Elephas maximus indicus: one gene and its partner. The protein of the gene in region 1 interacts with the protein of each later gene in a pairwise test. Links are inferred from orthologs where the notes say so. Each region holds a gene or a part of one and is shown on either strand. Other genes may lie near its edges. The genes, in order: CFL1 and ERBB4.

What was found.
Region 2: the proteins of CFL1 (region 1) and ERBB4 interact in a protein complementation assay, tested with the Homo sapiens proteins (2 studies listed by BioGRID and IntAct, with this or other methods). The link is inferred for Elephas maximus indicus from reciprocal best matches to the Homo sapiens genes CFL1 and ERBB4.

Annotation. Positions count from the first base shown.
Region 1 is NC_064825.1:128,990,514-129,005,350, reverse strand, and holds CFL1 (cofilin-1), read left to right. Parts: upstream 1-8,845; 5' UTR 8,846-8,952; coding exon 8,953-8,955; intron 8,956-10,139; exon of another isoform or gene 10,140-10,227; intron 10,228-10,840; coding exon 10,841-11,148; intron 11,149-11,414; coding exon 11,415-11,491; intron 11,492-11,687; coding exon 11,688-11,800; 3' UTR 11,801-12,320; downstream 12,321-14,837. Other genes in the region: EFEMP2 (EGF-containing fibulin-like extracellular matrix protein 2), read left to right, coding at 30-191; crossover junction endonuclease MUS81, read right to left, coding at 1,034-1,100, 1,192-1,386, 1,936-2,039, 2,117-2,245, 2,413-2,508, 2,605-2,721, 3,234-3,331, 3,421-3,542 and 8 more.
Region 2 is NC_064824.1:111,010,506-111,025,304, forward strand, and holds the start of ERBB4 (receptor tyrosine-protein kinase erbB-4), read right to left. Parts: upstream 7,737-14,799; 5' UTR 7,035-7,736; coding exon 6,953-7,034; intron 1-6,952. UniProt on the Homo sapiens protein: Tyrosine-protein kinase that plays an essential role as cell surface receptor for neuregulins and EGF family members and regulates development of the heart, the central nervous system and the mammary gland, gene transcription, cell proliferation, differentiation, migration and apoptosis.

The DNA of each region.
Region 1 (14,837 bases):
CGTGTGCCCCCACCCACTGTGCCCCGCAGCAAATCAACAATGTCAGCGCCATGCTGGTCCTCGCCCGGCCCGTGACGGGCCCCCGGGAGTACGTGCTGGACCTGGAGATGGTCACCATGAACTCCCTCATGAGCTACCGGGCCAGCTCTGTACTGAGACTCACCGTCTTCGTGGGGGCCTACACCTTCTGAGGAGGGGGTGAGAGGGCCCTAAGGGAGTGGAGGGAGGAGCCTGGGGCTCAGGGAGGACTGTGTTCTGCTAAAAGGGAAGACGTTGTGAGGGGCAGAGAGAGAGGCAATAAAGGGAGAAAGGAGTCGTCCTGGTGGCTGAGGTGGGTGGGTAAAAACTGCAGTCATCCCAGACTGGGGAAGGGGGGCTGTGTGCTCAGGGTGAGGAGACCCCACTGTCAGGAGCTGGGAGCCCTGTCCTCTAGGCTGGGATTGGTCTGCGTACCCCAGATGTCAGAATTGGCCTGGTGGGAGGAGGTAATGAAGCTTCAGCCCAGAGACTGGGGCTTGGCTGGTTTGCTAGGGGACCCTGCTTTGGGCAGTGCCAGAAGGCCCTGGGGTCCAATCCCAGCTCGGCCTCAAAGTATGAATTTGGACAAACCCTAGTAGCTCCCTGTGCCTCTGTTTTCCCATCCATAAAGTGAGGCAACCGGACTGTTAATGGTTTTCAAACTTCTTTTTCAAGCTGCAGAACTTCTTATCAAAGGAAATTTCATTCATTCAGGGACCCTTTGATGACATAAACTCGACTCAAAGTTGCAATGCCCAGTGAGTCCACCTCCTTGGCAGCCTTGGTGCTCCACATGGAGCTCCAGGAGCCTGAGGAACTCAGCCTAAAACCGGACCAGATGGTCTCCCCAATTCCTGCCTGGCTATTTTACAATGCCCCTGGGGCCTGGCGCCTCTCCTCCGTAACACATAAAACCGTGAACGTTTATGATTTTTATTGTAGCCCAAAAGATTTTGGTTAAAAGGCTGGCTAGCAGCCAAGTGGGGGAAAGCAGGGGCCCATCTCACAGCACGGCTCAGGTCAGGGGACCACAGTTACAATAGAGCTGGGACAAGGTCCTGCTCAGAACAGGCCCCAGATTCCTGCAGGGAGAGAGGCAGGTGAGGTCAGACCCTGTGCCTCAGGCAGCCCCGGCCCCCTGGCACTCCTTCCAAGTCTGTCCCCTGCCCTCACCTCTGCAGATGCCCACACTTAATGGTACTCAGCAGCATCTCCTGCTCCTTGGGAGTGGCACAGGCATCATAGGCAGCCAGGAGGCTGGGGGTGGGGTGGGATGTTGCAGTTTCTGAGGCTTGACCATGGCTGGCTGCTGGCCCACTTGGAACCCAGCTCCAGGCCAGCACCATGGACGAGAAAGCAGGAAGGGGTCTGCATGGGTTCTAGGGGTCAGGATCACTGCCCCACTTCCTGAGCCTGGCACTCAAGGCCCTGGGGGCTGTCCCCTGGAGCTTGGGCCCAGCCTCACTCTCCTTTCCCCTCAGGGCCACACCCTGTGCAGCCACCCCTGGAAAACCCCAGGGAACCCTGAACCAGGGGCCAAACCCTCTACCTTTCTGCAGGAGCATGAGAACAGGACCAGCAAAGGTGCCAAAAGCTCCTGCAGGAGATGCTCCCCGAGCCTGGGCATTCTCAGGCCAGCAAAATGGGCCATCTTCCGAGCCCAGCTCCCTCGCCTTCCCTCCAAGGAGCCTTCTCTGCTTCTCCAGGCCTAATAGTCTCTCTCCTACCCGTGGCCTCCCCCAGCGTTTAGGCCACGGTCTGGTCCTGGCTGGTTCTGTCCCTCTCCTGGCCCTAGTCCTGTGAACTACCTCGGGTTCAGCTGGATCACCCATCTCTGGGTCTGCACAGTCCACACAGAACCGGGCCCCCCACGAAGCACTGGCTGAGCTGAATTTAATGCAGGGACGGAGGGCCTACCTGGCAGGGGTGCTGTACCGATTGACCAGGGCTGCCGCCTTCTCCCCACTCACTCCGCGCACCTGCATCAGCTGACGGGCAAACACCTCACGGATGGACTGTGCCTGGGGGGTGGGACAGGGACCAGGTCAGGGCTGGTCTGGGGCCAGCCACGTGCGGAGAAACCAGGCAGAGACAGTACCTTGTTCTTAATGGCTCCTGCGTTGAAGTCACTGAAGGTTAGGAGTGAGCACAGAGGATTTGGGGAGGGCCTGGCCCCTGGTTCAGGGTCCCCTGGGGTCCCCCATGGGCGGCTGCATAGAGTGTGGCCCTGAGGCAAAAGGAGAGTGAGGGCCGGGTCAGAGCTCCAGGGGACAACCCCCACCCCGTCCTTGTGTGATCTACGCATCAGAGAACCAGTCTGAGAAGTGGGAATACTACCCACCCCCCATCCCTCAGGGGAATGGAGGCCAATGCCCAGCAGGTACATCTGCTCACCTGATAGAGTCTCTGCAGGCCCCGTGTCAAGAGAGCCAGGTAGGCAGCTGACTCCTTAATGTCTGCTGTGCGCTTCACAAAGAACCCATCGATAATCTGGGGAAGGGGGCCCAAGAGAGGGAGGGGGCTCCTGAGCACAGCCACCAACCATGAGGCCCGTGCCAACCTGGCCTGCCCTCCCCTCCAGCTCACCTGAGTGTTGGTGACAGCCTGCAGCAGGGTGCTCTCGGGAAGGCTCAGGTTGTGGGTGGAGCCATGCTCCTCCACCAAGTATACCCGGCGCCCCAGGCCGCAGCGCTTCAGCCGAAACTGGGGACGTAGGCAGAGGAGAGAAGGCTCAGAGTCACACACTGGTCCCGTCTTCATCCCTGACCCGTCCAGTAGTCTCAAGGCAGCCGCTACCTTTTTACTCATGCTGTGACTGAAATCTCCTCCTGCCCTCCCTCAACATGCTCATTCTTTAAGTCGCTCTTCCATCTGCACGTGGTCTCTCTGACTATAGGACCAGCAAAGTGACCAGTATGGGATGTGGCCTGTGCCATTCCCCTCCTGGAGATCTGGGCCTTATTTATCCAAGACTGCAGGGCCTGGCTACTCAGAGGTCTTTACTGTGCTCCTCCATCTAGCACAAGTATCCTGCACACCTTCATGCTGTGTCCCTAGTGGGCCTGCTCCCAGGGCTGTCCCGGAGCAGCTCTCCTGGGTGTGTGGCCAGCCCAGAAGTCCCCCTGGATTCCTCCGGGCTGAGGAGGAAGCCCCAGAGCTGTGGGTGTGTCCTGCAGCAGGGAGCAGGGGTCACAGGGCGAGGCCAGTGAGCAAACCTTCTGCTCCCGGAAGCGGCCGTCAATGATGCTGCTGCACAGGTCATCCAGCCGCTTGCGCTCCACGATGTGGTCCAGCACGAGCTCAACAGGCCTCACTACCAAGGGGCCAAGGAGAGTCTCATTGGCTCGTGTCCCCCCACCTGCCAGGCCTGCCTCTGACACCCACCCACCTAGGGCCCCTTACCTGGGTCTCTGGGCCTGGTCTCCTGTGCCACCCACACAAAGTCCCCAACGTGTAGCTTTCGGACTGTGTGGCTCACATGCAGCCGCTGCAGCTCACGGAGCAGCTCTGGCCTGTGCCCAGCTCTGGAGTTTTGAGGCAGGGGCCTAGGTCAGGGCAGGCCAAGAGCCCCCTAGTAGCATCCTGACTGCTCCCTCTCTCCCCACTGCTCACCCTGTGGTCTCGCTGACATCCACACACAACAGCACCCTGTACTCGCCAGGCCCCAGCTCCAGCAGTGGCTTTTGGGCAGTCACTTCACTGGGATCCCTGTGGGGAAAAGGGGCTGGTGTGTGTGAGGTAAGAACCCCAGTGCCAAGGCAGTCCCCTTCTCCTCCCCCTAGAATGTGGAGCAGCCAGAGCTCAGCTAGGTCCGGAGGTGGGAGTGGGGAGCTGGCCTCATTTCAGGGAGCCCTCATGCTCCCCCACACCCCTCCCACTCACAGCTTGGACAAGCCTGCTCCCGGCACTTCTGGCTCCTCCCCAGCAGGCTCCTCTGGCCCTGTGCCCATATTCACTAAGCTCAGGCCCTCCGACTCGGCCAGCTTCTGGGCCAATTCCAGCCCCTCCGGGGTCAACGAATACCTGGGAGATGAAGAAGACGAACACAAGTCTCCCTTCTTCAGTCAGACTAGGCAAGCTCTCCTGCCCGCCCCCAACTAGGGTGGCCGTGCCACCCCCTTGGCAACCCTGTACAAGCAAGCTCAACCCCTCCCAGCCCTAAAATGTATAATCAGCTTAGCTTTCTCCGAATCTGCCCAGCACTACTTCTCAGGTCTCCAGTAAGTCCGTCCCAAGTCTTCTTTCCTCTGGGTTCCTGCTCATGTTGTTCCTCCTGGAATGCCTTTCCTGCATCCTCTCCACTGAGTCCTACAGCATGTCAACTGCCACCTCCTCAGCAAAGCCCTTTTGTTGCCCCAGTAACTTGTGGCACCCCTCCTCCCTCCCAGGCCCTCAGATCCTCCAGGTACCCGGACAATGTGGGACCACAGTGCCCGGAGTGAGGCCTGGGCCTTGCTGAATGACTGCAAGCCCCACTAAGAATGTGAAGTCTGCTCCCCACTCCCTATATCCCCTGCAGTTGGCCCCACCTGGCTGGCTGGTGTGTTCTGAGAACAAGGTTCCGGTGGAGGAGGGATCGGAGAGCTGGCCAAGGTCGAACATTGCCAGAGACCACCTGTCGACAGAGAAGGAAGTCCTCAGGGAGCCACTGGTGCCACTAAGTGGCCACACTCCTTCTGCCCCCAGCCTTGGGCCAAGCCCCACACCACAGCCCGCATCTGAGAAGGGCAGTCTCTGGGGGACTGAGGATCAGACTCAGAGCCGCTCAGCCCGGTCTGCGCCTTACCTTAGCGCTCACCCTGGGAGCCTTCTGGGCACATCTCTGCAGCAGCTCCTCCTTGGTTAGGAAACTGCAGCCACTAGGATTCTGAAATCAAGGTTCAGTGCCTGGGTCCCTCCACGCTGTGCTTACTCCCTTAAGCACCCCATCGCCCAGCCCTAGTGGCTGGATGTTCTTTACCACCTTGCCCCAGCCAGGCTTTTCAATAGCCCCCGGCCCACTGCCTCTGCCCTGGTACTCACCAGGTGCTCCTGGTAGAGCAGCAACAGCACAGTGCGGGCTCCTGAGTGCCGGGCTGGCCAGTAGCTGCCAGAGCCTTTCGATCTGGGCTGGGCTGGAACCTGAAGGGTACGGAAAGCTCTGAACATGACAGCCAGTGCCTGTTGCAGAGTCCCTGGCTAGGCCGGGACACCTGAGGGTTCAGGTTCTGTTTCAGCAGGCCCAAAGCAAGTCACTCAACTGCCTCTCACACTCCTTAGCTGTAAAGTGGGCCAGATAGTGGGAATATCCTCTGCAAAGCTGGGATGTGGCAGTGGGCCATTATGGGGTACGGGACGGTGGGGGTTGCCTGGCCAAGCCTCAGTTCTCCTGGTCCACCAACCTGCGCTGCAAAACTCAGTAACAGCAACCCCTGCAACTTACTGGGTTGGGGTTCCATATTAGCTTAATCACACAACTCTGCGGATAACTCTACTGTCGATATTCTCACCTACACACTAGAAAACTGAATCTCAAAATAACCACTTGCCTGAACCCAGGTATCATTAATGTAGCTCTTTGAACACTGGCCTGCTTAATTTTCACGTTTCCTCAAAGCAACTCACATCCCCTGAGAAAGCCAACCACCAAGAGCTGGAAATATTACTTTCGGTACACCCACCTGCCTTGCCACTCCCCCTTGTTCTGTACTCACCGGCAGGGAAGGATCCCGAGCTTCCGCAGGTGGCCCTTCCGGGGCTGAACTCTTCTCTCCAGGTGGTGAGACCGAGGCATGGTCACCTGTGGGGGCGGAAGAGATTCACTCCCGGACCCCACAGAATCTGGCAGGCGGGGAGGGGCTGGGACGCTGCCTGCTCAAGCGGTACGGGAGAAGGGTGAGGCTCAGAGAGAGCCAGCCGCTAGTCCGAGGTCAGACAACGTGGACAGGAGTGGAGCGTTTGAAGCCAAGGTATCCAAGGTGGGCACGAACGCTGCACCTGGTGCGGCAGAGGAAGACCGGCCCTCGCCCTTGGCGCTCACCGCCCGAGGCTCGGTGCTGCTGCAGCCGCTCGTCCAACATCCGACAGAGCCCGTCTCCGAAGTGCTGGAGGATCTTGGCTTCCTTTCCGCTGCGCAGGGGCAGCGGGTACCGCCGGAGGGAGCGCAGCGCCTGCGGGAGCAGGGGGTGCGGTCAGGCCGGCCTTGGGGTCCAGCTCGGCCAGCGTCCGCCCCAGTTAGGCCGGCGCGGACCCCACCTTCTGAAACACGAAGCGTGTGCGGCGCCCCCTGCTGGCTGCCTCGTCCCTCCACTCGGTCAGCCAGCGTACGAAGAGCGGGTTAGGGCAAACGGGCAGAGGCCGCTTCCGGCCCAGGCGGACCGGCGCCGCCATGAGCCCTGGGGCCGGCCCTCGGGCGCCTCACGCCGGCGGAACTGGGACACCACCAGCTCCGGAGTTGGGATTCGAACACCAGCTCGGAGGAGGCGGGGCTTCCCCAGTCACGTGGTCCCACGCGGGCACTAACTGGGTGATCGCCTCCCTTCCTCGCCCCCCGCCCCTGCACTATTCTAAGTGGCCGGCTCAGATTGCTGTCTCTACACACCACCGCACTGAATCAGCCTTTGGACGCACCCCACTTAGGACCCTGGAGCCTAGACCCCGCCCCTTCCTCCCACCCCAAATTCGAGAGCGGGGCCCTATCTGTGCAGGCGAGAGGAAGGCGGACAGCGCCCCTTGTGGCTGGGAGGACGGGCCGGGGACGTGTTTAACGGAGTAATCTCAGCTTGGCTTCTTCAAAGTCCGCTGGCACTTTCAGCCTCACCCTTACAGAGGATGGGGGAGAGGACTGGGCTGGAAAAGAGCCCAGAAGAGGTGGGGGATGCAGGTATATTTTCCAGAGTGACATCTAGGAGGGGATGCAGGGCATGAAGATACAAAGCTAAGGCAGAAGGAGTTGAAGGATCTTCGGAGGAAATGATGATCACGGGCTGGGGGACACAGGGCAGAGTGGGGGACGTGAAGTCGGGGACAGGCAGAGAACACTGAAGCTAGGAGGACACGGGGGTCGGAAGACTGGTAATAAGGGGACTTTAACTAGGAGGTGCTGCGCATCCTGAGAGATGGTGGCACGTGGCTGAATTCGGGGAAGCAGATAGAAGAAGCCCAGAGAAAGGTAGAAGGGGAGAATGCTTCGTCGTTTCTGTGGCTCATTGGAGATGGGGAGCCCTCAGGGGGATCGATTAAATGTGGGGATTCTGCAAAGTGGCCCCAGGTTGAGGGGCACGTACAGAAGATTGGACACAGGGATCTCGCCAGGGGGTTGGAGCAGCCCATAGGCCACCAGCTGTCATGCCGGAAGTCGCGAGGTGCAGCTCTCGGGCCTGCGAAGGAGCTTCAGGTCCACCCTTGCAGACTCCGCCCAGCCCGAGATCCAGCATCCCCAGCCTGCTTAGGCCTCCCGCCTCCCGCCCGACGCGGCCTTATAAGGAGCCTGGAGCCGGCATTCGGGCTGGCTCCGCCCCCTCCAGTCTCATGCCCTAATAAGGACATCTAGGGCATCCTGCGGCTGGCGGCGGGCGGGAGAGCGTTTCCAGGGTAACTGCGAAGCCCCCTTCCCCCTCCTTGTTGCTCTTGGAAACTCCGAGGCTCGAAATAGGTGGAACCAGGCTCCCCTCTGACTGGGGTGCTGGCGGGAGGCGGCGGTCGAGCTGTGGCCTCCACCTGGGCCTCCCGGATGCTCGGCTGGTAGGTGGTGCTGCGGGATGTCCCCGACTACAATCTCCGGCATGCTCTGCGAGGTACCCCACTCCCTGGTGTCGCTCCTGGGGTCTTGAAGACTGGGCTGCCTCCTACTACTTACACGTTGTTTTCTGCTATGGGATCAAGGCCACCAGTTCCGTTTATGGGTATGCCTCTGACGTGTTTGCGACCCTTCTCTTCTTGCAGAGTGTGCAGTCTCATGATCATCTTTCGGAGCCAACGAAGTCTAAGCACATCCCAAACAGTTCCATTTTATTTAGGCGTATGCGCCCACAGAGCTTGTGTCTCAGTTTTGCGGCTATTAATCATCTACCTGGCTATCATATCAACCTGAACGAGGTTCAAGTCTGGTTTAATGTCTGTTTCCTTGCTGCCAAATAAGAGATACAAAGAATCCTTGGACTGAAATGCACAAACCCCTTTATTGCCTCGTGAATGAATGACGTCTGCCAAGCACCTTTAAATAAAGACAAAGCCCTCCTTTGAAAGTTTTTTTTCCCCCCGTAGCCTTTCCCTCGCTCGTGCGCGCGTCTGTGTTTTCCCCTATTTTTATTTTACTAAAGTTGCATGTGGCCTTTTTGAGGAGACAAGAGTGGCTTCGGACACGGAGGACGTTCAGTGAGTGTTTATTGGATTGAAGGCTCCTTATCCTTGCGATTCTCCTTGTTTTAGGACTGAATTCCAGACCAATGGAGAGTTGTTTCAATTCAGAAAAGCAAAATCCTAATCCCACTAAAAATTTTCAGACTAGGAGATCTAGAAAGTGTCAAGATGGGTATATTATGAAAACCGTTTCGCTCAAGGGTGAAGGACAGCAAAATCGGGGTTCATTTTTGTGTCTTCTTTAAGGTTAGCCAGGGCCTATCGCTCAGCTTCGAGCGTTTCCTGGGAAACTCCACCAATGGGCGCGCGCTCCGTGCCCTTCACTCCAGCCCCTTCGGCTGCCTCGGACTACATTTCCCGGCATGCAGTGCGGAGCCCCTACTCCAAGAACCCGAAGACGGTGCAAGACTCTCGGACTTCATTTCCCGTCGGCCCGCGGGGGAAGCGCCGGAAGCCCGCCCCGCCCCTCATTGTGCGGCTCATACTAAACGGAAGGGGCCGGGAGAGGCCGCGTTCAGTCGGATCCCGGCAGCAGCTGCAGCGGCTCTCGTATTTTCTGGCTCTCTTTGCCGTATCTTTTTCGTTTCCGGAAACATGGTGAGCGGCGGGCCACGGCGCCTGAGGGGAGGTGGCTGCGGCTCGGTCGCCTGAGCGCGGGGGAGAGGACGGGGGAGCGACGTCGGCACCCCCTCCCCCAGCGCTGCGGGCGGGACGAGGGTCTCGCGCTGAGGGGCGGGCGGTGCCGGGACGCGCGTGCGCGCCCGCGGGCGCCGGAGAAGGCTGGCTTGGACGTCGCTCGCGCGCCCCCTGGCCTCCCTTCCCCCACCTTGCTGGTGCGCCCGCGCGGACACCGGCCGTGGGGGGAGGGGTGCGGGACGCGCGCGCGCTTGCTGGCCTCTCGCGGAGTGGCCGGTGGCGCGCGCCGCCGCGGAGGTCGGTGCGAGTCAGTTCACGGGGGGCGCGCGCCCGTCGGGAGCACGCGGCATCCGAGCCCGGCCGGGGGCGGCGAGGGAAAAGCGCGCAGGAGGTATTGGCGCGCGCGCCCCACCCAAGGGCTGTTCCTGTCTCCGCGTCATCCTCCCTCGGCAGCAGGCAGGCCTAACTGGCGAGCAGGTGCCAGGGATGCCTGCGCCCGGAAGGGGCCAACGGGATGCCGGGTGCCTGGGTCCGGGTGGGGACGCAGGCACCTAGGAACTGGATTTACACCGCGCGGCACGGAGCGGACACCGCCGAGGCCACAGCCCGGCCCAGGGTCGAGTGCGCCTACGAAGGGAGCCGGGCCCTGGGCCCCGGCTGGAACAGCGCCGTCCCCGGCGCGTGCGCACATGCTCAGGTCCGGCCGCGGGGGCCGAAGCCTTCGACAAGTGGGGCCGTCGGCCTTCCCGGATGGGGCCTGAGGGTGGAGCCGCGTTTGGGGAAGTGACCCAGGCGGGCAGCGCCCGGAAACCACCCCGCCCCCTGCGTTGGGCCTGAGGGCTTGGAGAACTGAAGGTTGTGTAACTGCCCAGGCTCCGGCCTGCAGCATATGGGCTCGCTGAACGCCTGTAAGGGTGACACCCGGAGCTTGAGGCCCTGGAGGTGTCACTGTCGCTAGGGTGTGGGTTTCTGTTTAGGAGAGGGGGCCGAGCGGAGCAGAGCTCCTTTCCCCGCCCACTCCGGAAGCGACTAAATCACGTGGCTGGCTTCCTCCGCAGTTCCGGGGGTGGGGGGTTTCGGACTTCATGGTGGACAGTTGCTCCGTCTCCTGCTTGGGCTGTCCCCCAGCAGGACACAGGGTAGAGGTTTAAAGAGCTCTGGAAGACCCTGGGCACTAGAGTTTCTCCTGTTTAACATCTGTGAGCGACCTGAGGCCGTGCACCGTTTCCGGAGGTCAGGGTGTTTTTCGGCTGGGCCCTAATGGCAGTTGTGATCCGGCTATGGGTAAAAGAAGATCTAGCAGGGAAGGGGACTGTTTATATAGTAACTGCATTGGTCATTTCTGATGGACTTGCTAGAACTGTCGGTGTCTTGCCTAGCGTTTTGGGGTCCTGGTTCCCTGTTTTGTGAAGTGAAGATCGTGGCTTGGGTGTTGGGGTCGTTTTCTCTCTTCTTTGAAGTTCTAAGTCAATTCTTATCCGAAGGTTGAGATTGAATATTGTAAGAGAAAAGTTAGTAGTTTATGGATTATCTTAGGAAGGTTCAACAAAGGTTTAGTTTTTCATGGGTCTTCAATTTCCTGGTCTGTGAGATGGAGATGTTGAGCAGCATGACTCAGAGGTCTCTTCCGTGGTTGCCATTCCAGGCTTGTGTACTATCTGGTCCTTTGACAGGGGCTTGGGTGTGACAATTGTTTTGGGAAGGCAGTTAATGACATTTTTGGGATATGGGACTGTGGACTATGCTTGTTGGCATCAGACCGGGGTCTTTTGAGAAAGCAGGGGGGAGACTTCCAGGGGATCTCAGAAACTTGTTCTTCATAAGATGTGTGTGTCTCATTTCCCAGGCTTCTGGTGTGGCTGTTTCTGATGGTGTCATCAAGGTGTTCAATGACATGAAGGTGCGCAAATCATCGACGCCAGAGGAGGTGAAGAAGCGCAAGAAGGCAGTGCTGTTCTGCCTGAGTGAGGACAAGAAGACCATCATCCTGGAGGAGGGAAAGGAGATCCTGGTTGGTGACGTGGGCCAGACTGTTGATGACCCCTACGCCACCTTTGTCAAGATGCTGCCGGACAAGGACTGCCGTTATGCCCTCTATGATGCAACCTATGAGACCAAGGAGAGCAAGAAGGAGGATCTGGTGTTTATCTTTTGGTGAGCTTCTCATTCAGGCACTTCTTCTTGTTACCTGCCCTAGTTCCTTTTCTCAGAATGGGAACCTCTGTGGTTCTTGGTATAACCCACCGATGTGTGGGGAGGGGTAGTCAGTTGTCACAGAGCATCTACTATCAATGAGAAATTCCAGTATGTGGATGCTGAAAGTCATCTCACGGGTTTTTTGAAGTCATCTATTACTGCTTGAGGGAGATTGCTGGACCCAGAGGAGGGGACTGTAATTTCCCTGCTCTTTCTCCTTCTAGGGCCCCTGAGTGTGCATCCCTTAAGAGCAAAATGATCTATGCTAGCTCCAAGGACGCCCTCAAGAAGAAGCTGACAGGTAAGGGCTGGCTGGCATTGGTGGTGCTGTATGCCTGCAGCTCGGGGTGCGGTGAATAGCGTGATGGAAGAGATTGTCCCCCTTCCCTGCCTGCTGGAAAGTAACCTTGTCCCCGTCAGTCTGCTCTGATTGGCTCCCTCCCAGCCCCCACACCCCATGCTTCCTGCTCAGAGTTGCTTTTCTTTCCCCACCCCAGGGATCAAGCATGAAGTACAAGCAAACTGCCTCGAGGAGGTCAAGGACCGTTGTACCCTGGCAGAGAAGCTAGGAGGCAGCGCTGTCATCTCCCTGGAGGGCAAGCCATTGTGAGCCCCCTCCAGCCCCCTGCCTGGAACATCCGGCAGCCCCAGACCTGCTTGTGGGGGCTGCAGGCTGCCCCCTTCCTGCCAGACCGGAGAGGCTGGGGGGATCCGAGCAGGGGGAGGGCAATCCCTTCACCCCAGTTGCCAAACAGCGCCCCCACCCCCTGGACCTTCCTCTTCCCTCCACCCCGAAGGTTCTGGCCTTCCCAAATCGCTTTTGATCTTCTGATTCCTCTTGGGTTGAAGCAGACCAAGTCCCCCCAGGCACCCCAGTTTGGGAGGGGCCTGTATTTTTTTTAACGACACCCCAACTCCCCACTTGTTCCTCCCCATTCCCAGGCTGCCAACTTCTAACCGCAATAGTGATTTTGTGCTTGTCCGTTTAGTTCTGTGTATAAATGGAATGTTGTGGAGATGACCCCTCCCCACGCCGGCTGGTTCCCCTTCCTCTCTTCCCCTGGTCACATCCACTTGTTTGGAGGCAGGGCCAGTAAGGAACCTTCAATTAAAAAAAAAAGGAAAGCTTGCTAATGGGATGTTTGTTACAGGGTTGGGGCCTGGGGGGCTTGCAGGGGTGTTGGGCTAGAATGAGCAGCATTTCTTCTTTGCACAGTGATCCCCAGCAAGCCCCATGCATCCTGGTCTACCTCAGCGCCTGGCTGAGCCTATCTCTGAGATCACCACTCTACTGCTTTCTGGGTGGTACCACAACGGCGCCACATTGGCTATTCGGGGGGTGGTGGAGCCAGGGTGTGTCTGCTGCTGCTTGCAGGGGGTCTTTAAGTAGAGTGGCCTTATGCCTGAACTGAGTATCTCTGGTCTCATTCCTGTGGGCACTGAGGCTTCTTGGCTGTGAGATTTTTTGCATGTCACAGGTTGTGTGGTAACGTATTGTCTATGTTCTCAAGATTTTGTTTCGTTTTCCTTCTGACTCTTCTGCGGGATGGCTGATTCGCATTTATGAGAGTAGAGGGTCAGGTCAAGTGGCTGCTGTGAGTCAGGTGAAGTTGAGCCTTTGGCCTTCTAGATGTGGTTGGAATCTCTTAGGGTGTGGCCAGCCAGGTAGAGCCCAGGACTTCAGACCCAGGTGTCTTGGGCCCCACCTCCCAGTGTTTAACCAAGAGGGTGGTGGCTGGGTTGGAGCCTTTTGCCAGCATTGCTGTCTTCAGCCTGCACTTTGGGCTTTCACCTGCCTGGCAGGCAAAGGTATCCAAGGCGCCTGGGATAAATTGGGGGTGGTAACACAGGGTTCATTCTTCCTCCCTTAACCAATGAACTGGAAAAAGCGTGAGCGAGAACTAGTTCTTTAGATTTTTGGAACTTAATAGCAGCTCTAAGGGAGGCAGGAAGGAGTAGTTCTACTTTGCTGGTTAAAAAAACCAGGGTAGAGGACTTGTAATTGGTTCTACTCGTGTCCAGCTAGGGTTTGTGGGAGTGGGGGAAACCTTGAATGCTGCTCCTGGGGTTCCAAGCCTGAGTTCTGCACGTTCCTTTGGAGAAACTGCTGAGGACACCGCAGGTTGTCCCCGACTTGGTCCCACAATATGGCCCCAACAATGCCCTGGCAGAAGGTGGGCCCAAGTGTGGGAAACGAGGACTCCAGCAAACCCCTTGCTAGAAAACCAGGTTCTTTATTAATAAGTGGATAACAGGTGGGGGTAGACGTGCTTTTCCTCCAGGGTGGTGGGTGGGTGGGGGCTGTCCTCAGCACCCTGGGGAGGGGAGGTCAGGGCCTCTGGAGGTGCCCAGTCCTGGGGCTCTGCTTACCTGTGGCCAGTACAGTGCCATGCTGCCCTCCTCTTGAAAAGGCCGGGCTCAGGCTGGCCTAGGGGAACTGGGGGTGTGCTAGTGGCTGCTGAGGTGGGGCCTGGGGGCCCCTTGTTACTGGAGGTCCAGGGACAAGGATTGGTGTGCTCTGGTTGCTCTAAGGCTCCCCCTTGAGGACAGTGGGGGTGTTCTGGAGCAGCAGTGTGCTGGCCTGGAGGGGAGAGGTAGGTCCTTGATGTTCTTTGCCTGCCCTCACCCTGCTCCTAAGACTGGGAGTTGTACTTTCTGAATCTCAGATAACGCCTGCCACACCCCTGCCACCTACAGAGTGATTTGCACCAACGAAGAAAGAAGGGCAGGGACCTGGCCCAAGATGGGGAAACAGGGTTCTGAACCTCAGCTGGAGCTGCTCATGAGGTGCTGGACCTCCTCCTGCCCAAAACACACAGACTTAGTAAGCAAGTGTGAGAAACTAAGAACCTAGAGGCCTGGTGGTGGGGGCCGGGGAGGCCAGAGGTTCACCTTGGCGTGTTTGAGCTCCAGCTCTGCCAACTCAGTGAGGTTCTTGCAGAAATAGGAGACACGATGGGACCTGAAGCCTGTGAGCTCTGGGGAGAAGAATGGGAACCTGGCAGGGCAGGTGCCCAGTGGTGGGGGGTCAGGGCGGCAGGGGCTCACCCTGCTTGGCTGACTCAGAAAGGCGTTTCAAGTGCTGGAACCGCAGCTGCTGGTGGCTCTCGGGGCACACCTCCTGGTTCCTGGTGCGTGTCTTGCCTAGCGCCTTGTTGGCAGTCTCATAGTCAGCCAGTGCCCTTAGCCGTCGGTACAGCAGGTCCTGGAGCCAGCATGGGCACAGGACCGCTCCTGCCCACAGCCCTCGCCACCCTACCTGGGTTGACCATGCCCACTGGCCTCCAGCCCACACCTACTCTGGTGCTGCCTCTCACCTTGGCCACCTGTGAGTCATACCTTAGTATGTCTGATAGCTTCAGGTCCTGGTCAGAGGCCACACGGTTCTCCAGCTTCTGTTGGGAAGGTAGGGGCTCGGGAGGGAGCTAGCCAGAGAGCAGCTAAGGGATGGGGGGGCCTCCTCAGCTAAATACCTAAGAGAATTACTGATACCACTCTACATCAAGCACTGATATTAAGGGAAACAGGCTTCACTGAGGAGGTGGCGTCTGACTTGGGTCTTGGGGGTTTAGTAGGAGTTAGCTAGACAAATAAAAACCAAAGATCTGCAGGTATGGAGGCCGGGTATGTTCAGGGAACCATACATT
Region 2 (14,799 bases), on another chromosome or scaffold:
TTAAGCATGCATATTACTTAGAATGGAGAAAAAAAAATAATTTATTGGTCTACTTCATAAAGTCCCAGGTAAAAGAAACTCTTGAAGATACTATCACATACAGATACTAATGTGGTCTCCTCCCCACTTTTAGGGTAAACATTCTGATGAGGCATAGTAGTTAAGTGCTACGGCTGCTAACCAAAGGTTCGGCAGTTCGAATCCATCAGGCGCTCCTTGGAAACTCTATGGAGCAGTTCTACTCTGTCCTACAGGGTCGCTATGAGTCGGAATCAACTCGACAGCACTGGGTTTGGTTTTGGTTTTTATTCTGATGTCCAGAACACGCCTAATTGGAATTTAGGCCTAACTGTCACAGAACTACATCTTAACAACATTGTTTTGTTTATTTAATCTTAATTAGGTTATAATTGCAATTAATGAATACATCCTAAACTAAAGATGATGACGACCCCATAGTCTCCACCTGGCAGAGAACTTCATAGTATTATAGTTAGGCTTGTGGGTTCAATTCATTTGCTTACATTTCAATTTTGAAAAGCTCTTGTAAAATAATACGATCTTGCTCTTTTTCTTTAAAACTTCTGTCTGTGACTTTTCAAGTACTTTCATGTATGTTAAAGAAAATTATATTAGTGTCAGGAACTGCCACTAACTTATACCACCTACTTTCTTTGTGCTTCCAATTTCTTCACTTATAAAATGAGAGAACTGGGCTAGATTAGTGGTTTCCAAGTAGAGCTAGAGCTCTGTGAAGCCAGCAGAGGAGTGTAGCAGCTTGAATGGAAAAAAAGTGAGGGAGCACCAAAGGCAGGTGAACATGCAGCTGGCTTCTCACTGAAGCTTTAACAGAAGCAGCTCTCTTTTTACCCTTTTATCTGTTTTAGATACCAGGGCTACACATCTGAATTCACACAAAAAAAGAGGTTCACTTACCTAAATTGAACATAATATAAAAATAATAATCAAATATAATTGAAAACCAATGGATTTTTTTCCCAGTCTAAACATTCTTTTTCAGTCTAACAGAATCATTACAAAAATTCAAGATATTAATAGTTTAGGTACCACTTTAACCTATATATATACAGGTAATGAAATACACAAACGAGGAGTCTCACTCAAAACCACCGGCAAATTATTGCAGGACCAGAACCCAAGTCTCCTGCTACAATGCCCAAAGCTCAGGCATGCACCATTCCTATTAAATTCTGTGTGGCTGGTGCCCTCTGGAGTTGTGCCAATTAACAGCTTGAAGAGCAATCACTTATTCAAAATGAAAATAATTATAAAACAATTACTACATGCTCAAAAAAATCCCTTTATAAATACATATAAATGAAGTATAAATACGTATACTTCACCTACATACCATAAAAGTGAGAGGGCTCTCTTCCCTCTTGAAAAAGTAGTATAAATAGAAAGCATTAGTTCACATGTTAGATATAAAAATAAGAGAGTGATTTAAAGCTTTGATTAAAGCACTAAAAACAGGTTAATTTATTTAAAAAACATGTCAGAACCAGCAATGACTCAGAAAACACCATATATAATGAAATCTAAAGAAACCATCGAACAATTCTGAAAAGCCATCTTTGTGAGAAAGAGCCTTGAAACATAAACTCTTTAGAGTTAATAACTCTCTTTCTTTCATTTAGACAGCTGCTCGTCTGCTCTTCATCTTCCTAGATGGTCTGCTAGGAAGTTTACATTATGCTTATGAACACACACCGATTCTATCAAATATATCAATTACCTTCTTGTTGGAATGTATCTCAGTATCACAGAAGACTTTCAGCCATTCTTCAGAAAATTGCTACAGAGCGCAAAAATAAAGAGGGCCTTATGTGTTCTCCCCCCACCCCACCCCAGGCACACCAGCTAAGTAAGTCACAAAGAGATGGAGTTGCTCAAGATATTAAGAAGAAACTGAAAGAGCTGTCCCTAGAATAGAGAAATTCTGATTAAAGCCACCTATTTCCTGTGTCACACTTATCCATGAAATAGAAAGTTCGAGTCTCCTTCAAATTATTTGGAAGAGCTATAGTTGCAGGAAATATTTATTTATTTTTTTTATTTTTAACAAAAAAGGAGGGTGACGGGGTTGTTTTTCATTATAAAGTATAAACTCCAGTCAATAGCTGTAACAGACATCATGAAAAGTAAGATTTTATTCTCATTTCCCAATATTTGTAATATTTCAGAAAATGAGTATTAGACAAAAGATGCTATTTGGCTCCATATGGTGAAATGTAACATAAGAGAACATCTCTAAAATGATATAACCTGGAGGAAAGTTTCCAATATGATGAAATTCTACCCTGCATAGCATACTCAGTAGATTACTGTGAAAGATGTAACAGTGGAATATGCTTGACAATTAGTTTTTTGTAGAACAGCTGTAGGCTTGGATGTATATAAGCAAATTTCAATGTAAATACTTGCATCTCCATAAATCAACATGTCTGAAAAGGATGATATCAAACAGAGCAAGCCCTCACAAGTTTTAGGTAACAAACACAATATCTTTTTTGGATCATATGCCTCATTTATGTTTTAGGTGCTTACAAATCTGACTTGAAATAACAGAAAAATGATAGGACTTTAAAGCACTGCAATGCTTAAGATAGCCTAATTCAATTTATTGTCTAAAATGTGCACCTTACATAGCTATTAATCTCAAGGTGGATCTCATCACCAAGCTTCAGAGGGTATTTAGAAATGGCATAAACCCATGCATCCCTGGTATTTCTCAAAGGGCAGTAGTCTACCCTCCTTCCTTGGTCAAGGGGGAAAAACAGGGAGAGAGGGAAAGAGAGACTTCTCTGTGGAAAGATTTGGCCTTGGAGTCAGGGCTTTGGAGATGTGCTAGTGATCTTGGATCGATGCCTTTTTGTTTTCTTTCAGGAATAAATCTGAGGAATGGAATGGCTTGTGATTCTCCAGCCATCCAGCCATATCAGATTTAACAGAAAGAAAGAATGAAAACTGACTCAGAAGGCTCCTGCAGTGGCTGAGTGGCAGGTTGCTGGGAAAGAAACACACACACAAAAAGGATACACTCAGTAATGGAGGGAAAAAAACATATATGCACATGCATAAACTCAATAAATAATAAGATGTAAAGAAAGAATCTACAGTAATACAAAGGGTGAATGCATAAGACAGATGAAAAATAGTACTTCTATTTAAGTACCAAAGGGATAAAAGCTCATGAATACTAAATATTTGAATCCACTTTAAAGAGAAAATATGATTTTTCCCTCAAATGAATGCAAACTGTAAAAATCAGCCAATGCAAACTTACTATGTTCAGGAAAGAGTGAAAAATGCTTAAATCTACGACGTGCATGCCCTCGTAAACATTCTAATGTAATTTCTTAATTAAGACATATTTTCAGTGACTAAATGAAAATATATGTAACAGAGTAAGTGCCTTGATTTCAACAAAATTTTACTTTTTAATGCATGCATGATTAAAATAAATAATGGCAGTTGAGTTTAGGAGAAAAAAAAATCAAGAGATGAGGAATCATGACACAACCAGAGTCACTCAGTTTTTTAAGGGCCAATAGTTACAGTACTTTCAAGTGATTTGCAGTTACAGTAACAGGCATTAATCTCTTTGGAAGTATTCTAAAGAAGAAAAAAAAAAACTTCTAAAGAAGTTCCCATATATAAAATTTCAAAACCAAAAGGGACTAAAGGAAACAGTGGACCCATGGGTGCGCTTAGAGTAAACACGTGTAGGAAAGAGGATTGATGGTTTTGATTTTTTTTTTTTTTGGAAGATGTATTTACTACCTTTTACACCATTTAACTGTAAGTTTTATTAATAATTTTCTTTTCAAATGTAAAAATCACCTAAGTTTGGAGGTGTCATGATGGATCTTAAATATGTCGGAAAGATGTGTGTACTTTTATAAAATAAAAACCAGGACTAAGTTACTTGCAAATAGGAAAAGCAAACTGAACTCGTTCATCATACCTATTAAGGTATGTAAGAGCACACACTTCAATAGTACTATACATTTTATTTCGATACAAACTAATATATTTTAATCACATAAGGAAGACTGCAATTTTGGAATCATTCCTTTGGTTAGTAAAGGCTTTATAACTGCTCTCTAAAGGGCCTTTGGTTATAACATTTCTAGATAAAATAAATCACTGGAAATGAGACAAAGTTTTTCAGAATTAGGAAAAAATAATCTTCTCTAAAGCTGATTTTCTTTCAAAGCAAAAGAAGAAATAAATAAATAAAACCAGGTCTTCTTCAGTTAAAATTACTTGTAAGAAAAATCTTTAAAATTACTTGTAAGAAATATCTTTAGATTTTACTATAGAATCTCCCCAATATTTTAATTCTATTCACATAGAGCAGTAAATAAGGTGCATTCCTTCTGCTTCTTAAGAAATTAGCATTTCAAAAATATGCCACTTTCCCCTGAACTCCAAGCGTGTCTAATAATGCGAGAAGCAGATTGTCTTCCCTCGTTTCCTTAATTTGTTTCATCTAAAAGCAATTCACTCAACATCTTGTCGCCCTCTGGCAGCTTAGTTTACTTATCCGCACTTAATTTCTCATTTGGACCAAAACAAACTCCTCCAAACTGCTACTGACTGCTAACCGCAAGAGGGGAGACATGCAATATGTATTTACTTGGGAACACACAGCCACACACATACAGTCACAAACACACGGAACCTCCCTCACGCCCCAGACAGTAACTTGGTTTTATAATAGCACTACATTAAAACCAGTTTAACTTTCCCTGCCAGGTGCGGCGGCGTACAGGGGGAGAGAGGATGAAAAAAGAAGTCCCCAAGGGCATTTACAGTTTCCAGTGGATCACCTGAGTATGCGTGTTGCAATTAGACCAGGGATGCGCCCGAGAGCTCTTTGTGCGGCCCTTTCATCTAGATCACTTTGTGTTTTGAACAAGTGAGGCTCGCCTTTGTGCCCCTAGAATTTCAAGTACAGAGTCACACAGGGAACAACAATGGTACGCTAATCCTTGCGCTCTAAATGGGCTCACTTGTGGGTCTGACAATTCGCCCGGGGGAAGTGAGAAGAGACTAGCGAGGGCGCGAGCCGGTGTCGCCTGAGACGAGGAAGAGGACAGCTGCAGAACTAATTTGGATTACATTCCTTGCAAAAATTCTGAAAAGGGCTTTTCGGCATAACTTAACCCCCGAGCCGCACAGTTAATAACAAATTGCTGCGGACTCGAGTCGGGTCCCCCAGCGACTAAGGCTGCACCAGACAGCCCCCAGTAGGTCGCTTCCTTGACATTCCTCTCAGCTAACCCTGCGTGGCAGTCGCAACTGCGTTTGAATGGGTCAATGTGCGTAATCAACCCATTGAAGGAAAATATGAAGGGAATCGGAGCGGGGCGGGAGATAAAAAAGGGATGTTATCTAAGAGGCCGCTTGGAATCTCCAGACCGTGTTGTGTTGGTGTGACAATTCTGGAGGCGGCTTGAGAGCGGGACTTGGTATGCATGAAGAATTTCGGAGTAATTGGGAGGGTACAAACGGCCAGCGCCAACGGTGCACATGTGCCATTCGAAGGTCATTTGGAAAGCCTGGACGATTATAACTTGTTGTGTACCAAGGCAGGAGGGGGAGGCGGCGGAGGCGGAGCGGGAAAACTACTGCGCGCAGTTTTCTTGGTGAGGTCAGAAGGACACACTCCGGGGGCCTAAAGCTCTCCCTATCGCCTCCTCCGGAAGCTTTATCTCCTCAAGCCGCCTCCCACGCTCCCGTGACCAGCCCCGGATGAATCCGGAAATCTACCCGGCTCTCCAAAAGGCCCCTGTCCCTCGACTCGGCCACGGGTTCCCCTCTGTTCTCCTTTCCTGTCCCACTGTCATCTCCCAGGAAACTCAAGTGTCAGAAACTTTGCGCTCCCTCGCACGGCAGGTGCAGTCAGCAGTCCTGCCCGCCGGGAGCGCCGGCCCCGCTGCGCTGCCTTTAGGGATTCACTGAGCCCAGGGCCTGCCGGGGTATCCCGGGCTCAAGTTCTCCAGCAAACAGTGGCCGCGCCTGGAGCGCAGCCGCCGCGCCCGCCTCGGGGTAAATCAATTCGCGCGACGGGCCGGCTCCGCAGCCCCGCCGGGCTGTAAACAGAGAACTTGGAGGGACTCCGGCCAATAGCAAGTTGAACTACAGGAACAACTCTTCCCCGAGCCAAACACAGCAACCGCCTCAAGTGTGCCAGGCCTTTTTTTTTTTTTTTTTTTTTTTTTTTAAAGAGCTCAGGCTGGCAAGTCAGCGCCCCTCAAGCCAATGCACTCCCAGACGCCGGCCGAGGAGGCCCCGGGTTCCGGGCCCCCGGACCGAGGCGAGCCCGCCTGCCGCGCCCCGGCTGCCCCGGCTGGGCTCTAGTTAGGTCTGACCCCGCAAGGCTCGGCGACTGGGGGCGCAGCGCCCGCCAGCACGCACACAGGTGCAAGCCCGCTCTCGGAGCTCCCCTTCCACAGCTCGTTCCCCTTTAGGAGCCCGCCAGGCACCGCCACCCAGCCGGGGCACGCTTCCCCCAGGCTTCTTCCTTTTCGGGCAGAGACTGCGAGAGGCTAGCGTCCTCTGACTGAGCTTTTGGCTCTCGCATGTCCCGGACAACAGGCGCGACCACAGGGATCCCGCTAAGGCTCACAGAAAACGCGAGAGAAAGGGGAGTTTAAGAGAAAAAAAAAAAAAAAAAGAGGCGGGCCGGGACGCAGAGGGATTTTTCACCAAAAGCAAAACACATACACACAGGGTAAGTTTAGGAATGGAAAGAAGGGCTACCGAGAGCCCAAAGAAGAGGCCCCTATCGGGTGGTCCTTTCACGCCTGGGAGTGAGCGGGTCTCCGGTTGGACCAAGAGGGTGAGAGAGCCACCCGTGGCGACCAAGCCGGCGGCAGCAGGTTCAACAACTGGAGCGCGAGAAGCAGGAACCGCGACCCACCTGACTGAGAAGCGCTGGGCTGGACGGTCCCCGCCGCCACAAGAAGGCTCACCCAGACCCACAGTCCTGTCGCCAGCTTCATTTTTTGGAAGTCTCAGATCCCGTGCTGACAATTACATGTCCAAATGGCATATCCCCTTTCTGGCACGCGGAGAAGATTCCTCAGCCCGGAGCGCGTGGGGCGCGAGGGGGGCTGGCGGGCGGCGCGCGCGGCGAACCGCTTCCGAGGCGGGTGAAGGAGTCCACGCGCACGGGGCCGGGGCCGGGGCCGGGGAGGGGGCTCGAGTATACGTGCGGGTGTGTGCGGTGGGAGTGTGCTCGAGTGTGTGCGCGTGGTGCTTCGGGCCGGCCGGACTGGGCAGCTACGTCCCCGTGTGAGCCTTTGCTTTCTCGCTCCCTCCTCACTTTCTCTCTCGCTCTGGTTGGTCAACAATAAAAAGGAAGGGGGAAAAAGGTTTCCAAAAAAAGTTGATTGCAAAGAGGCGGTAGGTTTCCGGCCTCTCCACCCCAGCCGGGCTACGTTCGGCTCCTTTTTCTGGGTCCCTGCACCTCCAGTCCAAATCAGGAGGGAAGGGGCGGGCGGGGTGGGGGGAGCTTCTCGCTTCTCCCCTGATTCTGCCCTTCTTTCCCTCGCAGCTTTTCCTCACACTTGTCCGGCGGCTGCGGTAATTAAAGCTCCGAGCGTCATTTCCAACGCTCCGCGGTCTCCAGCTGCAGCCCCACAGAGAAATTAATGAGACTCCGGAAAAATAAAATAAAACAGCCCTCCACGCAACCAAGCAGGCTCTGCTCAGCCGCGCAATCCCCGCCCCTGCTCTGACCCTACTAGCCACGCCTTCTCCCCCGCCCCCCCCAAAGGGAAATCTTATTGGCTCAGCCACTCCCCAAAATCCTCGGCCTCAGGAGTTGGGAAAACACCTGTCAGGGAGATGGAGAAGGGTGTTGGGGGCGGGGGAAGCTGGTATTAAAGGGCTAATCCGAGGCCACCGACTAAAACACTCCCCCTCCCGCCCCGGCAGAAGCCCAGGACAGCTGGCCCGCGGAGTGGGCAAATTACCGGAGGGGTGTTTAAAGGTTGTTTCGTAAAAACGAAGTCACCATTCGCCATTGCCCCAAGGTGCTAATCCACAGCCAGAGACATCCCTAGAAATAGAAGCAAAATCCACGTCGCTTCGGGCAAAACATTTCCCTCCTTCCCCTGTTCCCCCATGCTCCACACTAAGCAAATAGTTTAAAACTCAGTACTGACTTTTGGGTAGTGTGAGCCTCCGCAGATTAGGTAGTGGTGGGGTATAATCATCCTCCTTCCCCATCTATGCAGTCTCTCCCAACACCCACCTTCCCAAACTGGCTGACACTGAGCCGAACTAAAACTCCACATTTGTATGGATTGTAAAATTTTTGGAGCCCTGCTGGTACAGTGATTAACAGTTGGGCTGATAACCAGAAGGTCGGCAATTCGAATCCACCAGCCTCTCTCTTTGGAAACCCTATGGGCAGTTCTACTCTGTCCTATGGGGTCGCAATCAGAATGGACTGCAAGGCAATGGGTTTGATTTTTTTCTTGGGAGGGGGAGGTAAAATTGTTTGGATTTTAGACTTTATAGGTGTTTTCACCCTTTTCTTGGGCTCTAGGACAACTTGGTTTGGGTTTATTCTCATTATTCAGATTCTAGTCCAAAGGTATTGATTTGGTCCTGAAAAGCTAGAAGTTGCCCAGAGTGTGAGCTGTTTAGTATGAAAGAATTTAAGGCGGCCAAGTCAGGAGATAACGGACCTCAAATGATTAGGATTATTCTATAGTGAATCAAGCTTTAGGTCCCTTCCATGTTCTCACTCTGCAAGTTCATGGTCCCAGTCCCAGGTCATTGCTAGCTCTGGAAGTCTCTGGCCTTCCCTGGATCTAAAATATCCTGGGACCGGGTCATATCAGTATACATACCCCTTGCCTTCTATAACTCTGAAACTATACCCAGGGCAGGGGCCAGAACCTCCTGAGGGTAGTAGGTTATTGCTTTGCAATTTGCACAGGCATTTCACGTATGAATTATTTTCCTTTTGCTTTCTCTAGAAGTAGCAAATACATAAATAGAAAGTATCAGGGGAGCTTAAAAATCAAGCCATCCTGCCTCTTCACTCATCATTTAAGACCTCTCCTTTGTTCCTCAGCTTTTATCTAGAGCTCTGTCCCTTAAGAATTTCCATGGAGCTGAGAACAGATAGGAAGAGCAGTCTTATCCCAGAAGCCTGAAGCCTTCCCTCTCAGGCCCAGAGCAAGTAACAGGCCTTGAGAGGAGGCCAAAGGAGATGAGCATGCTCTGTTACCCAGAAGCAGCCTAGGGTGGGAAGCAGTTAAGCCTAAAGGAGATGATGGTGACTTGACCAGAATGGTACTGATTGTGCAGAACTGTGCTTACTGCTCTTTGGGATCATCTTTGTTTTCTACTTTTATCTCCCACCCCCTCTGGTTTCTTTCCTTTCATTCAATCTCTTCTCACTCTTTTGTCCTTAAATCCCCTTCTGCTTCTTATGACTCTTAGACACCTCTCCTCCATGAAAGCTACTTCTTTTTAAAATTTCCATTATTAAAAAAACTAAGTCTTTGTTTCTGATACCAGTTCTGTTGTAAGAAGTGAGAAATGGGTTATTTATTTTACCTTAAATTGTGGGCAAAAAATAGTCTGGATATTTTGGGTTTTTTTTTTCTACTCATATCCATTGTGATCATTTTTACCACCCACTCCCCCATCAATTTTATACTTACTCTTCTGTGGCAGGAATTCCATACATCTTGGTCTCACCCATCACCTCTAGAATAATTCTTTGCAAAAGAGGGTTTTCAATTAATATTCATTGGTTAAAAAATTAGTCTATTTTGTATGTGTGTGTGTTTGTGTATATATACTAGATAGCCTCTACAAGGCCTCAGATACTCAGTTTGTTCTGCTTTGATCCCATTTTCCTCTCTCTAACTAATTGAAACATGATTGGTCCTGGTTAAAAGTGATTGTCTGACCAGCAGCTTGTAAGATGGATTGGCATGAAAGCACTACCAAGCAGAAGCATCCTACATTTCAGGATGACTGGTCTTCCCAATCAGAGCCTAGTTCAGATCATTTAAGACCTGGAGATGTAGACAGGAGGGTGGGACCCTGTGGGGGCAAGTCTGAAGGATGAGAAATTAGAAGCCATGAGGCAGAGACAAGAATTAGTTCTTTCTGTATATGCTGTCATTTTGTTTCTGGTCTCGGCTGAGTCATAAAGAAGGAACACCAGAGTAGGGACAATTTACTACCTGATGTAGAAGGAGGGATATACTAACTGGATTGCTAGAGGCTTGCTAAAATTGATCTCTGTACTTCTTCACTTTCCTATGCATCTTTATGATAAATCTCTACCAACTGAGTTACATGTGTTGTTGTTACTCGAAATCTGAAAAAAAAAATAAATAAAACTGACTAATCTAACATGGTTGTATCTACAGGTATTTTACTAACCAACAGACAAACACCGGAGATTATCTGCTTAGTACCCCATTTCGAGGAACTGCCCTTCCTCCAGATCTACATTTTTAACCTGAATTTGCCTCTATGGTACAGCCTACCCCGACTCTCCAGTTCTACACTGAACCAATCAAAATGCCTAGGTTACTGTTGATTAGGTGAAAAATGGTCACTCCCACTGAGACTCTTCCCTGAGACTGTGTGCATGAGAAAGAAACAGCTCATATTCAGTCTTTCATTGTGGCTTTTGAGATCTAGATTTACAGACCTGGCCTGGCTATGTTTCTTTCTATGTAGAGATCACTAGGCTGCAGTAAGAAAGAATGAAGCTGCCATTTGAAAGGAGCAAAATCCCAGATGGGTCTGGAGAATATCCAAGCTCTTCCTGAGGCTTATTTTTTCAAACCCCCTTTTTCCTTCAGCTAGTTCAGTTTTCATTTTTGTTACCTGAAACCTAAAGAGTGTAAAATGGGACCCTCCAACATAAATGAGATTATATATGCCAGTATGATCCTTGAAGAAGACATCTTGATATGGCCAATATTGTTGAGTCTCCTTTCCTGGTTTCTCATGATTTCCTTTGGTTGAAGCCATAACCATGACATATAGATGCCTTTGTCCAGGGCTGCTCTCCTGAATCCCCTCTCCACTTCATTTTTTCCATTAGTAATATAATTTAAAAAAAAGAGTTCTGATATCATGTGTGACAGAATGATGATGGTGCCAGAAAGAAACACACTGAACTGAGTGTTCAGTCTCGAAGTAGATCCCTAGCGTTGTCCCAGAATTCCACAGTTCACATAATCTTTAGTTTGTTTCTGAGATTAGAGATTGCTGTTAGCACATTTTGCCATTAGTTATATATATATAAATTGGGGACAAATATCAACTAAGAAAAGAAATGGAACGCTATTGTAAATCCATTATCTTCTTATGAATATTTAAAAATAAATCTAGGGTTCTATTTTTTTCTCCCCATTCATTTTTCTAAGTTATCTTGTGATCTTGAGATAGTTACTTCATATGCTTCATATGCCTGTTGTTGTAAACTCTCAATTTCAAGACTTTATGGGTCTATGATTTACTAACCATCTACTAAGTGTAAGTCATAATTTTCACAGACTTTAATACTCTCTCATACCTCCTCCTTTCTCTTTCCCGCTTACCCACAATACACATCTCTGTCTGGACCACCCACGCAGACACGTGTCTTAAACTACCTTAGGAAAATATTCAGATAGGCTCACAGTTATATCACTGTGTAGTGGTAAAGAATTGAATGTTTACTGTTCTACCAGTTAAGAGGAAATGTTGCTGAGTACCAGTCAGATTCAGTATTATGGTGATCAAGCAGATGACAAACACAATATTGGTATTTTCTGTTTGCTTTTTAACTCAGCACTTGAAATAATAGCTTTGCTCTTAAACCTCTGATTTCTGGCATTCTCTGATATTTGGTGACATTTAATTTTTAAGGCCAAAGCTCAATAAATGTTTGAATATATTAATATGCACTAACCAAAGAAATGTTTTTGTTACATTAATTTAACACTCAAAGAAGTCCTCCCCAAGATCATTTTGTTTTGGGTTAATAACTGTTGTTTTCCTTTTATATACGTGATTAAGCCTTAATTTTTTAAGAGCTCAGGAGGTGTGACTAAAAAGTAAATCAATTCCGTGTTGCTTTATGTCCATTCATCAGTGTCTGTCCAAGTTCTTATAGACCTTTCCGGTTTGTGATTGAAACTGCAAAATAATTTCAGCCCTGTGGACTTAGCAATCTTTCCCAATAAAATTATACAAAAATGATTTTCCTAGTAAAGCCTTTTTCTCTTGTGTATCTGCTTTAAATATTTTCTTAACCCAAGTTCTTGTGTTCCCTGTAGCTTTTTCTATTTCTTTGTAAGTTTCAATATGTAGTAAACCTTCACCAACAGTTGCCATTGACTTCTGAAAACTAGAAAGGAAAGGAACGTTTTTCTCTTTGAGTGCCTGTGTACAGCCAGTCCAGGGTTACAAAAGAGATCTGTTCCTAACGGTGACTTTAAGTCTTTAAACGTGTAGGTAAGTTGGAACAGGTGTGTATGGTTCTTATTTAGCTTACTTTAGTGCAAGAAAAAACTTGAAGACTTTTCAATTATTTAGAAACTGCACATGCAGCAAGTGAAGGTGATCGTGATGAAGAATTTGTTGCCAGTAAGGGTTGGTTCAGTTGTTTCAAAGTAAGAGCAAATTTATATAACATTGAAGGGCAAGTTGTCTGCCAGTGGACATTTGTAACCCAGGGATTGCCTGTATATGTAAGTAAACTAACTAGTGAGGTTGCTTATTGAGGCTCTGACAGTACCTGACTTGAAATCTGAATCAAGGAAAAGTGTGTTAGTTTCTTTTCCAGGCAAAACCTTTGCTAGTCAGTTCCAACTCATATGGACCCCACAGGGTTTCCAAGGCTGTAAATTATTACAGAAGCAGAATGCCACATCTTTCTCCCCCAGAGCAACTGGTGAGTTTGAACTGCCTACCTTTTGGTTAGCAGTGAGATGCTTAACCACTGTGCAACCAGAGCTTCTTCTCCAGGTAGCCTCTATATTCCGCTTCCTTCCTTCTTTATTCTTAACTCTGCAAAGAGCTTAATCGTGTTATGGTTAACACATAGATTTCCCAAAAGTCTGCAGACAAAAATGAACGTTGTTCTGACTAAGGACACAAAGAGTTCTTAGAATGTTTTCTTGGACTCCTGCCAATTGTCAACTAAAGTAATCATTTAGAAACCATGTATTTTCTTTTCAGGTTTGTATAGTGATGCATAAATCTTCACAGCATCAATAAAAAAGGTTCTAAGAGCCAGAAAGGGTCCTAAACTTCTTGAGTCTTCTTTCCACACTTCGATAGCCCGGTTCCTCCTTGCCCAATAATCACCTCTCAGTATAACCCATTTCCCATTCCTTTAATGTAGTTCTTCAATTCCCTTGGTGCCTACCCTTACCAAGTCCGTCTTCACTTCTGAAAAATCTGTCATGAGGTCTAAGACATCTGGCAGTTCCTATATTTGGTCCTGGCCACTAGTGAATAACAATTTTGTACCATCCTATAGAATACTCTATGTTCTAAAGCATTTAATACTTCGATTCACCAGTGAAAAGGGTCCAGAAGAAACTACCAGAACTGTAACAATAATTATAATATTTTAAAAATAATTAAAAGTTATACTGATTGAGTTTGATGACAAAGAAGAATGATAATATTTGGGGATAAAAACGATGTGTGGTAGTATTTATATACTTTTTTCAGAAGGATGCTTATAATTCATATCGATAGATTAATAAATGTTTTCCCTTTTCACCTACCTCCTTAATTTGTCCATAAGGATTCTAAAAATAAAGACTGGTTAGTTAATCTTTTGCTTTTGGGGTATTGGGTTATCATTTAAGAAATTCAACGATGAACATAGTTTGATTCACATCCATCTTAAAATATTTAAACTGCTGATACAGTAAACATTTTAATAATGTGCTAACGTATCAAAGCAATAGCCACATATATCCCGGCAGCTGATACAGTGAACCCCCTGCAGAAAGAGCAGCATCAGCAAAGCTGAGGCTGGACAATGTTTTGAATCTGAAGTATGAACACCTATATCTAAAAAAACAATTTTAATAAGGGAAAATAGAAAGCTGCTAGAGAAATCTTTTTTGATCAATGAGTCTTTTATCTACCCACAATGGAGACCATTTACTTAAACAATTTTTAGGTAACACGAACTTAATCAATTTCACAATCTATTTTGAATTATTGTACTAATAGTATAAATGTCATGTTTCATACTGATCATTTCTGGTTTTCAATGAGCCTAATTTACTCTTAAAATAAAATCAACTTATAAACAATCAATATTACTCTTTTAAAATTGCTGTTGAATGAAAAAATAGTACACAGGATAACTTTTTGTAATGGTTGCTTACACAGTGCAAAGTATCATTGCAAACTTGTGTATTTTATGGTTATTTTTAAGAATATGATATTGGCAGGGATTATTACAATGTAAGGCATTAATATTTATCTTAACTAATACATGTCTGGAGACCCTGGTGGCATAATGGTTAAGTGGGCAGTTCAGATCCATCAGGCGCTCCTTGGGAACCTATGGAGCAGTCCTACTCTGTCCTATAGGATCGCTATGAGTTGGATTTGACTTGATGGCAAGGGGTTTGGGTTTTTTCTGTTTGTTTAATACATGTATACTGACTCCCCACTCTTTCCATGTCTTCATTTTAGGTAAAACTGATAGAGAAAAAAAAATGTTCTTTGTCTAATCAAATACTGGGAGGAAATAAAACAATGGTG